Linked DNA regions of Coturnix japonica. The protein of the gene in region 1 interacts with the protein of each later gene in a biochemical or structural test. Links are inferred from orthologs where the notes say so. Each region holds a gene or a part of one and is shown on either strand. Other genes may lie near its edges.

Region 1 (4,577 bases):
TACAGATTATAGAGAAAAATATATAGGGTTTATAGAGGAAAATATATAGGGTTTATAGAGGAAAATCAGAGCAAATAAGAGCATTAATTTCTGGGTTCAGTCAACACCGATGAACACCACTGCCTCAGCAAACAGCAGTTCTGGATTACCCTTGACTGAATGATTCCTCTCTGCTGGCAACAGCTCCAGCCTCCACAGCAGCAGCTCGTGCAGGCCAAAGGAGGCTGGAATTCAGGCAGGTCACACTGGGATGTCACATGTGGGACCTCAGCTGCCTACCCCCATATCGTGACCCTCAGTGGCTCAGCCAGAACACAAGCAACTTGCATGCTCCCAGAAGGCTCCGAGGAGCCAGCTAGCATACGCTGCAGTGTCTCAGTCCATGGGAATGGCGTGAATGAAACCTCAAGGGCATCAGTGGTCTGGAACTGACAGGAAGACAAAGTCTCCCAAGGACTCAGCAGGAAATAGCTTCTCTGCTTTCTGCCTTATTTAACCCAGTGTTAACTGCGTGCTGCAGTCTTGCTGCTCCTGAAATCAGCTGGCACAGGAGTGGAACAGTTGCCCTCACAAAAGGAACAGCCTAGCAATCAGCCAAAGCCCTACTCTTGATACAGCCACATTCGCTACCCCTTGGATCTGACATACAGCACCCTCCCAGAGGCCCATGTGGTCAAAGGAGCTACCTCGTGCTGTTAAAAGACACAAGATAACACCCCATGCCTCTTGGGACCTCTAGGCATGCTGGCTGCTGGCAGAACCCTCAGCATCTCCCGCAGAAGGAAACTCTTTACTTACTGTCATGATGGATCAAATTTTCCAGTGACTCTGCCCACTTTTTGACTTCCTCTTGGCTAACCCTATCAGGAGAAAAAGGGAGAATCATAGAATCATTAAGGTTGAAAAAGAACGCTAAGAAAATCTAGTCCAACCATCAGCCCACTCACACCGTGTCCCTCAGTGCCACATCTATGTGGTTCTTGAGCACCTCCAGGGACAGTGACTCCACTTCCCCAGGCAGCCTGTGCCTCCATTCAGATAGGTGTAGAAAGCAATAAGGTCACCTCTGAGCCCCCTCCAGACTAAACACTCCCAGCTCCCTCAGCCTCTTCTCATCAGATTTGTGTTCCAGATCCTTCATAGCTTTGTTGCCCTTCTCTGGACACGCTCCAGGGCATCAATGTCTTTCTTGTAGTGAGGGGCCCAACACTGAACACAGCACTTGTGGTGTGACCTCATCAGAGCTGAGTAGAGAGGGATGATCACCTCCTGCTCCTGCTGGCTACACCATTTTTGATACATGACAGGATGCTGTTGGCCTTCTTGGGCACCTGGGCTTACTACTGGCTCATGTTCAGCTGAGCATTGACAAACACTCCTGATCCTTTTCTTCCACACAGCTTGCCAGCCACTCTGCCCCACTCTATACCATTGTATAACTGATACTTCCTCCCAGCTTGGTGTCATCTGCAGACTTACTGAGAGTGCACTCAGTTCTGGATTCAAACACATGGGAGCTCAGGAGGTGCTAAGAAGCAGCGGCAGCAGAAATGCTAATGACTCCATCTCACTGCAGGAGTAAACAGCACATTGCAGCCAACCTTTGCTCAACTGCATGGCAGCACAGCTCTTACCTCTGGCTTGGAGATACTTTCTCCTTCTTGCCCTGGGAAGAGCCATAGTCACAGGAGTCTGACTTCTGCAGCAAGATACCCAGACGATGCTTCATGTCTTTGGCACTGAAAGAAATAATTCAAGAATGACATGAGGATAATGCACTACACCTCCCTCTGCAGCCACCTTGCCTTCAGTAAGCTTGTTCAGCACTGTTCAGTTAGACCGAAGCAGGTCACATCCAGTGGCTCCAGTGCTGACTTTTCACTCCTTGTTTCATTTGCTAGACAAAATACAGCAGTGTTCATTTGTCACTCTCAGCAGCACCATCTTGCTGAGCTCCTCAGCCTGCAGGGAGGGCTGGTAAAGGGGGAGAAGCTGCTGTATTACTGCTAATTGTTTCCACTTAAAATACTGTGATAGAAAACTATCACTAAACGTGCTGCTTCTCCCTGAACTGACTTGCCCAGCTACCAGTGTCTGGTTCTATGCTTACTAATGCCTTCCTGCAGGAAGATGCCAGTATTATTTGCTTCCAAAGCCATGGTGATCAGGCAGCTTTTTTTTTTCCCAGATGAGAGCAAGAATACCCACTGGGCTGTGGGGCAGGTTGTGGTGCTGGGGGTACACAGGCAGCTCAGCCAGCACAGGGGTAGCCTGGCCAGTGCCACATATAGAGCGTAGCCAGACCCTACATCAGCCCTGGTCTCCTGCTCCTGCAAAGCTTGGCTTCTGCACTCAGGCTGTGTTCTGGGGAATGAGCCCCGGTTGTTGTGGAATCATATCTGCCTTGCTTCCCCCTCAAAGAAACAGAGAAAAGGAAACTCACCAGAGATAGAGCGCTGAAAGCAGAAAAGAGGTGCAAAGCTTGCAGCAGAAGCAGATGACAGGAATATCAAGGCAGAGCAATGCTGTGAGCTGCTTGTTTTGCTGATGGGAAGGATGGGTTTAGCGTTCCCACAGCTCAGTACAAATCCCTTAGGCAACTCTGACTAACAGTAAAAATCCTGTAAATCATCATTTGTATCTAATCTTACATAGCAATCAGAGCCAAATCTGCCACTTCTGCCTCAGACACAAAGTGCAACGCATCAACGTATCTCCACATAACAAGACCAACAAGAGATGCTCAGAAATAAACAGTACCTTTTCAAGCAAGTGGCTGGCAGTGCAGCGAGTCCCTTGCACATCTTGCTCCCAAGGTCGGGTCTGTATTCCAGGAAAACAAATAACCACAAGGCAGGAGGCAGCAGGGGCTGCGCAGGTCCTTTGCTGGCTGCAGAATTCGGTCTGCCTGTGAACCAGCTGCTTGGCGTGGCTCTGTTTTATAGCCTAGCCCAGCCAGCCCAGCAGCGCTCGGTGACCCAGTCAGCAGCCAGCACAGCAGCTGCACCGTCCCCCTTCTGCCCACCCAAGAGGAAGAGGGTGACGTATAAGCTGAGACAAATGGCTGAGTGGGACTGAAAACCTTAGCAGAAATGAAGCTGGGTGGCTGCAGAGGTAGATTCTTTGCAAAGGATGAAAAAAAGCTCCAGAGGCTTTCCTCTGTCGCAAAACACGGAATGGTGCAGATAAAAGCTGGGGAAAGATTTCAGAGGGGCACAATGAAAAGGGTCAGGGGAATCAGTTCTGCCAGCCCCTTGGTTCATTCTCCCATTCTTTTTAAAGGAACCTAGGGAAAATAAGGGACAAAAATTCAAAACCCCATAGGTTCTCACAGCCTTAGCAAGTGCAGAAGCTGGAGCTGTGAGGAAACAGGATTGTGAATTCACCAGGGAACTGCCCAAGCCGATGAGACTGGGTATTTTTGTTCTGGAGGTGTGTGCATATGTGCCTTTGATCAGGCTGAAAGGAAAGGTCTGAGGGGCACATCACCACCGGAATACAAAATGAGTTAGTTCCAGCACATTTGTACTTAAAGGCAGCTCGTGCACATGTGTAGGAAAAAAAAAGATGAGGCATTGAGAACATGGCTGCCTTAGAAATATGGGTATCACTAACACCTCACTTCTCCATCTGCATTTGCCCCTAAGCAAAAGCCAGGCCTTGCTACTCAGCATATCTGAGCACCAAGGGGAGAGGATGCATCAACACAACAGGCATAGAAGTGCCTCCTTGGAGGAGACTTCCCGGCAGCATTGAGGCTGCCCTGTGCTAAAGGACGGACGTACCTCACACTTGAGCACGGGGATGCTTGGCTGCACTGCCTGGCTCTGGTGTAGTTCCAAAGGAGAGCTGAATGACTCCAGCTGTGCTGCTTCTCCTCACCCCCAGGAGGGTACAGAAGGCAGAAGCAGGCTGAAAGCAGCCCCTCTGAAAGCAAAAGCTGGCTGATACTTATTGAGTTGCTCCTCAGCACAATCTGTACCATCATTGCAAGAGGGTGTCATACACCATAATGCGCACAGGCTGCTCCTGTAAAACAAAGCAGCTTCAGTTCAGCAGCAGGCTGTCTGCCCACATTGCCCACTGCTGGGCTCCCTTTCCCTCAGGACACTTGAAACACTTTGTCCACAGCCTAGAAAAGGTGCAGGGTAATCTTTACCCTCCACTGTCTCTACAGCCTCCAGCATGCAGCACAGAAGACCCAACTCCTGGACTAGCTTACTTGCCTTGGCACACTGTATCCTTTCAGTTCATTACATGCCCTGGATGTTCATTAAGTGGAGCATTAAGTGCTCCAATAAACCTTAAAATGCTTTAGTTCTAATGTGACTGCTGCCAGACCTGAGCTGTGCAGTTCCCACACTCTTTGGACTAAAACGTAACCCTAGCACAGGGCACTGTCACACTTCACCTGAGCGCTGGTGAGCCAACAGCATTGGGGTGGGTCTGCAGGGAGTGACAGAGCACTGTAGAGCTGGTGCCAAAGCTCTCTGTTGTCTCTTGTTTCCAAAGTCAAAGAGCAAAATATGGTCAAGGAGAAAATTCTTAATTAATCGAGCAATTTTCTCGATTAATTA
Region 2 (4,552 bases), on another chromosome or scaffold:
TGTGAACAACGCTTGCTCTCCCCTCCTTTGTCTTAGCACATTCCTGTGCTCCTTCATGAGGCGACAGCCAAGTGTGAACCTGCTGTAGCCATTCACGGGGATGAGATTTATTATCTGGAGGCGCACCAATAACACAGCACTACAAAAAATAAAGCAGCGGTCTCTTTCATCAAAATCTAATGAACGCGCAATTTCATCTTTATTAAGAATTCATTAGGTTCTCAGCAAGCCCCGTGTAATGGAGCTTGACCAGGTGAAATGCTAATGCCTGCATTATATTTAAATTCATTTTCAGAAGCATTGGTTTCCCCTGCGGTGCCGGCTCCCCCCGGCTGCTGCCGCGTCCCCACCCAGCCCCACTGCTCGCCCGGAGCTCCCAGCATGGCAGCCAGCTCCGCATCCTCAGGCACAAGGCTGCAGGCTGCCGTGTGCCACATTAGGGCTGCTCCCTTCAACATATAGACCTACAACAGGGTGTTTTTCAGCCCTCACTCTACTAATATAGCCCAGCCAGCCGGCTTTTATCTGGAACCAGTTCGTTTAAACAACAAGAGCTCTGGTCCCCGCGGCACAGGAGCCCGTGCGTGGTTGTGTAAGGCACCATGGCCACAGCTGCCCCTTCACCCACAGCGCTGTCGCTGTTCCAGTGGCAGCCACAGCCTCTCCTTCCACCAAAGCATCGCCCGCCATTCCAGCACGCTCCTGCAGAAGCCATTCCTAGAGATTAAATAATTTAGTGGTGTTCATCTGCAGCAGTTCCTCTCCCGATCCACCTTTCACATACAAACAAGTGCAAACCAAACCGATCCTCCCGGCCCCACATCCCCAAATGCCCTTTGACGGGGCCTCGGAGCCTTTGCACACCGATAGCAGCGGGAGAGGCGGATGGAACGGCACCGAGGGCGAGGCTGCTCGCTCCCACAGCCCTGCAGCTCTATGGGAAGAACGCTGCCTCGGGCGGGGACGGTGGTTCGGTCCTCTGGGACCCCCCCGCTACAGGAGATGTGCTGTTCCCCGTACAATCACGGCACCGCGCCGGGCTGCGGGCCCGCGGCGAGCCCACGCCCGAGGGTTGGCGAGCGGCGCCCGAGCCCCTTCGGCTATTTCCGAGCCTGCTCGGCTCCCCCCCGACCGCCCCCGAGCGCTCTCCGAAGGCAGCCGAGCGCCGAGGGAGGAGACGAGCGCTGCGCTCCCCGCGGTTCGAGTCCCCGCTGGGCGCTGTCCACCACGAGAACCGCCTGAAAGCCGCGCCACGCCGCGCCCGAGGGACAGCGCGGAGGGACTGCGGATGGCTACGGGCACACCGGGCACACCGGGCACACCGGGCACACCGGGCACATCGGGCACACCGCCCGCCCCACGGCCCCTCCCAGACACCGGCTCCTTCCCTATCGGGAAACAAGAACCGCTCCGTGCCTCTACCACCGTGACACCCAGCCCCAATGCACAGCTATGGCGCCTGCTCGTTCCAGTGGGAGGCTGCGGCTGGATGGGCTTTAATTAAAGGGAAGAAAAGGGAATGGAGTAATTCTGCACCTCCACACCTCCGTTGGTTCCCTGCACCTTCACTGGCTTCCCCGCACCTCCATTAGCTCCCTGTGCCTCTGCTGGCTCTCTCATGCCTCCGTTGGATCCCCATGCCTCCATTGAGCTCCCCACACCCCCGTTGACTCTCCCACTCTTCTGTACACTCTCCCACACCTCTATATGATGTCCTACATCTCTATAGGTTCTCTCACATCTCCAATGGCTCTTCCATACTTCTGTTGTCTCTCTCACACCACCACTGACTCTCCCACATCTCTATATGCTCTCCCAGATCTCTAAAGGCCCTCCCACACCTCTGTTGGCTCTCCCACATCTCTACAAGGCTCTCCCAAATCTCTGTAGGCTCTCCTACATCTCTGTTGACTCTCCTACATCTCTGTTGACTCTCCCACACCTCTGTTGGCTCTCCCACACCTCTACAGGCTCTCCCACCCCTCATTATGCTCTCCCACAGCCCCGCTGGCTCTCCCCCTGGAAGCACCGCCTGGCCACGTGCTGGGATCACTGTGTGCTGGGGGCACGGTGTGGGGCAGCCATGTCAGCCCACTCCCATTGGGGCCCGGCACAGCTGTCAGGGAGGTGCTGCATGAAGGCAGGGCTGATTTTTCAGGGCGCGTTGGGTCGCGTGTTTTTCCTTTCCCCTTTTTAATAACCCGTTTTCAACATAATTGGCGACCGGCGGCCAAGTTCGCCTCTCATTAATTAAAAGGCTCAAATCTCGGGTAAAAGGGGCTTTGGGTGGCAGCGAGCCTCGCTTTAAATCCGCATTACGGGCGGATTTCGTGCTTTTTTCCCCCTCCCTCCTCCTCCTCCTCCCGAGCGCCGGTCCCGGCCGCAGCCGCCCACCGCCCGCCCCGCCGCCCTCATCCCGGCGTTCAGCACCACGGGGCCCCGAACAGCAGCGGCCGCCGCCTCCCGCCCGGCGCTGCCCTCGGGTACAACATGGCGCCCGCGGCCCTCCGCGCCGCCCCGCGCCCCGCGGCACTCACTTCATCTGCTTCACGATGGTGCTCTTCCCCGACTCTCCGGCCCCTGCGGGACAGAGAGAGACAAGCGGTGAGCGCGGGGCGCGGCGGCGCGGGGCGCGGAGCGGAGCGGGGCTCACCGAGCAGCAGCAGCTTCACGTCTTTGGCCGCGCTGATGCCGTCCTCCTTCAGGTTCTTCTCGATGGCCTTGCTGCGCTCCAGGGCGGCCCGCTCCTCGGCGCTCAGGGTACATCCCATGGCGAGAACGGATTGAATGGAATTAAAAAGAAAAAAAAAGAAAAGAAAAAGAAAAAAAAAAAGGGAGGGGATAAAAAAAAAAGCGCAGCCCCCGCCGCCGCCGGGCGCACCGAGCTGCGGGCAGCGCAACGCCGACAGCCGCGGGGATTAACAAAGGCCTGCGGGCTCCGCAGCGGCGGGGCCGGCGGCTCCGTGCCCGAGCGCTCAGCGCATCCACGGGCTGCGGGCAGCGCGGGCGGCCGCGGGCGGGGCGGGGCGGAGCTGAAGGAGGAGGAGGAGCGAAGGGGGAGGAGGAACGTGACGAACGGGGCGGGGCCGCTCCGGGCTGCGCGCCTGGCGGGGCGCGGGGATGCGGCGGCGGTGCGGGATGTGCGGGATGTGCCGGGGGAGGGGGACGCGCTCCGCAGGCCTCGCCCGCTGCCGTGACGCGCGAGTACCGCGCATGCTCCCAGCACAGCGCATGAGGGAACGGGCTGGGTCAGATGGAGAGGAGCTCGGCATGGAGCTCGGCATGGAGCTCGGCATGGAGCTCGGCATGGAGCTCATGGCTCTGCGACCCCTGACAGCAGGTTGGGGGGGGGCTCGGCCTCTGCTCCAGATAACAGCGGCGGGGTGAGAGGTAGTGACCTCGAGCTGCACCGCGGATGGTCAGGTTGGGGACTGGGAACTATTCCTTCTTTAAGAGTGAGGCGGTGGCACAGCTGCGCAGGGAAGGGGGGAGTCACCATCCATGGAGCTGTCAGAGCCGTGCCATGTGGTCCTGGTGGGGTGAGCTGGGGTTGGACCCAGGGAAGGGAGAGCTCTGATTGATTCTATGAAACCAAGGCCTGTATTCTGGGAGCAGGCTGCCCTCTGCCACGAGCAGCCAGGCCGAGGAGCTCACTGAAGGAACAGAGCTGCTGCCACAGCCCTCTCCACCTCCCTGCAAACAGAACCAGAAGGATGCTGTGGGGCCGCTGCCCGCTGTGACTATCCATAATGAAACACCCGGCCCAGGTGGGGCTGGGCACAGGCTGACATTATATGACCTCCTTCCCATAAAGCACCGTTTCCATTTTCCTTCTACACCTCTGAAACAAAGGGGAGAAGCGTGGCATGTGGTTAACAGTGTATAGCAGAGATGTGAGGCAGAGCAGACAAAGGGAAGTAAAAGGGAGCTCATAAATAATGTTAGCGTACTCAAGGGCCAGCGGTATTTACCGAACATTTGTGAGCTAATAGGTACTGAATATCTGAATTTGGGGTAATTTATTTCTGGGAGCCCAGGGGAAAAGGGTATACCTGCATGGGAAAGCAAACCTACTGCCTGTATTCAGCAGGGAGCGGGTGGGGGTGGGGGTGGCTGCGGAGCAATTCCTGCTCTTTCATACTTGAGCAGATCTCCTGTGTAAAATCAATAGGATCAGAATTTCAATCAGTAGGTTTCATTTCAATGGTACCAGCCAGAGGGCATTATGAAAAGTGCAGAATAGGAAAACCACAATCCAGAAATCCAGAGGCGGTGTCCTCTTGAGATGGCTGCATCTACTGCCCATCTCCCCAGCAGCTTGCCAGCCTTGGAGTCCTGTTGGGATCCTCTCCAAGGATTTTTCTAAGAGAATTGGTCTTTTGTATAAGCCTCTGGATACTTGTTAACAGGCAAATTTGTATGAGCGCTGCTCTGAAAGCAGAGCCTCCTCTCCTATGATGTTGCCCCACAATGTCAGAGGCGGATGTTGGTGGTATGGCAGTAGAGGCTGAGCCTTCCTGCCAATATTCCATTACATTTTGCTGCTGTGTGA

The links.
Region 2: the proteins of RGS4 (region 1) and GNAO1 form a complex in vitro, tested with the Homo sapiens proteins (2 studies listed by BioGRID). The link is inferred for Coturnix japonica from reciprocal best matches to the Homo sapiens genes RGS4 and GNAO1.

What each region holds. Positions count from the first base shown.
Region 1 is NC_029523.1:3,576,302-3,580,878, reverse strand, and holds the start of RGS4 (regulator of G-protein signaling 4), read right to left. Parts: upstream 3,012-4,577; 5' UTR 2,805-3,011; coding exon 2,761-2,804; intron 2,467-2,760; exon of another isoform or gene 2,444-2,466; intron 1,740-2,443; coding exon 1,635-1,739; intron 861-1,634; coding exon 799-860; intron 1-798. UniProt on the Homo sapiens protein: Inhibits signal transduction by increasing the GTPase activity of G protein alpha subunits thereby driving them into their inactive GDP-bound form. Activity on G(z)-alpha is inhibited by phosphorylation of the G-protein.
Region 2 is NC_029526.1:480,041-484,592, forward strand, and holds the start of GNAO1 (guanine nucleotide-binding protein G(o) subunit alpha), read right to left. Parts: upstream 3,031-4,552; 5' UTR 2,772-3,030; coding exon 2,654-2,771; intron 2,581-2,653; coding exon 2,538-2,580; intron 1-2,537. UniProt on the Homo sapiens protein: Guanine nucleotide-binding proteins (G proteins) function as transducers downstream of G protein-coupled receptors (GPCRs) in numerous signaling cascades.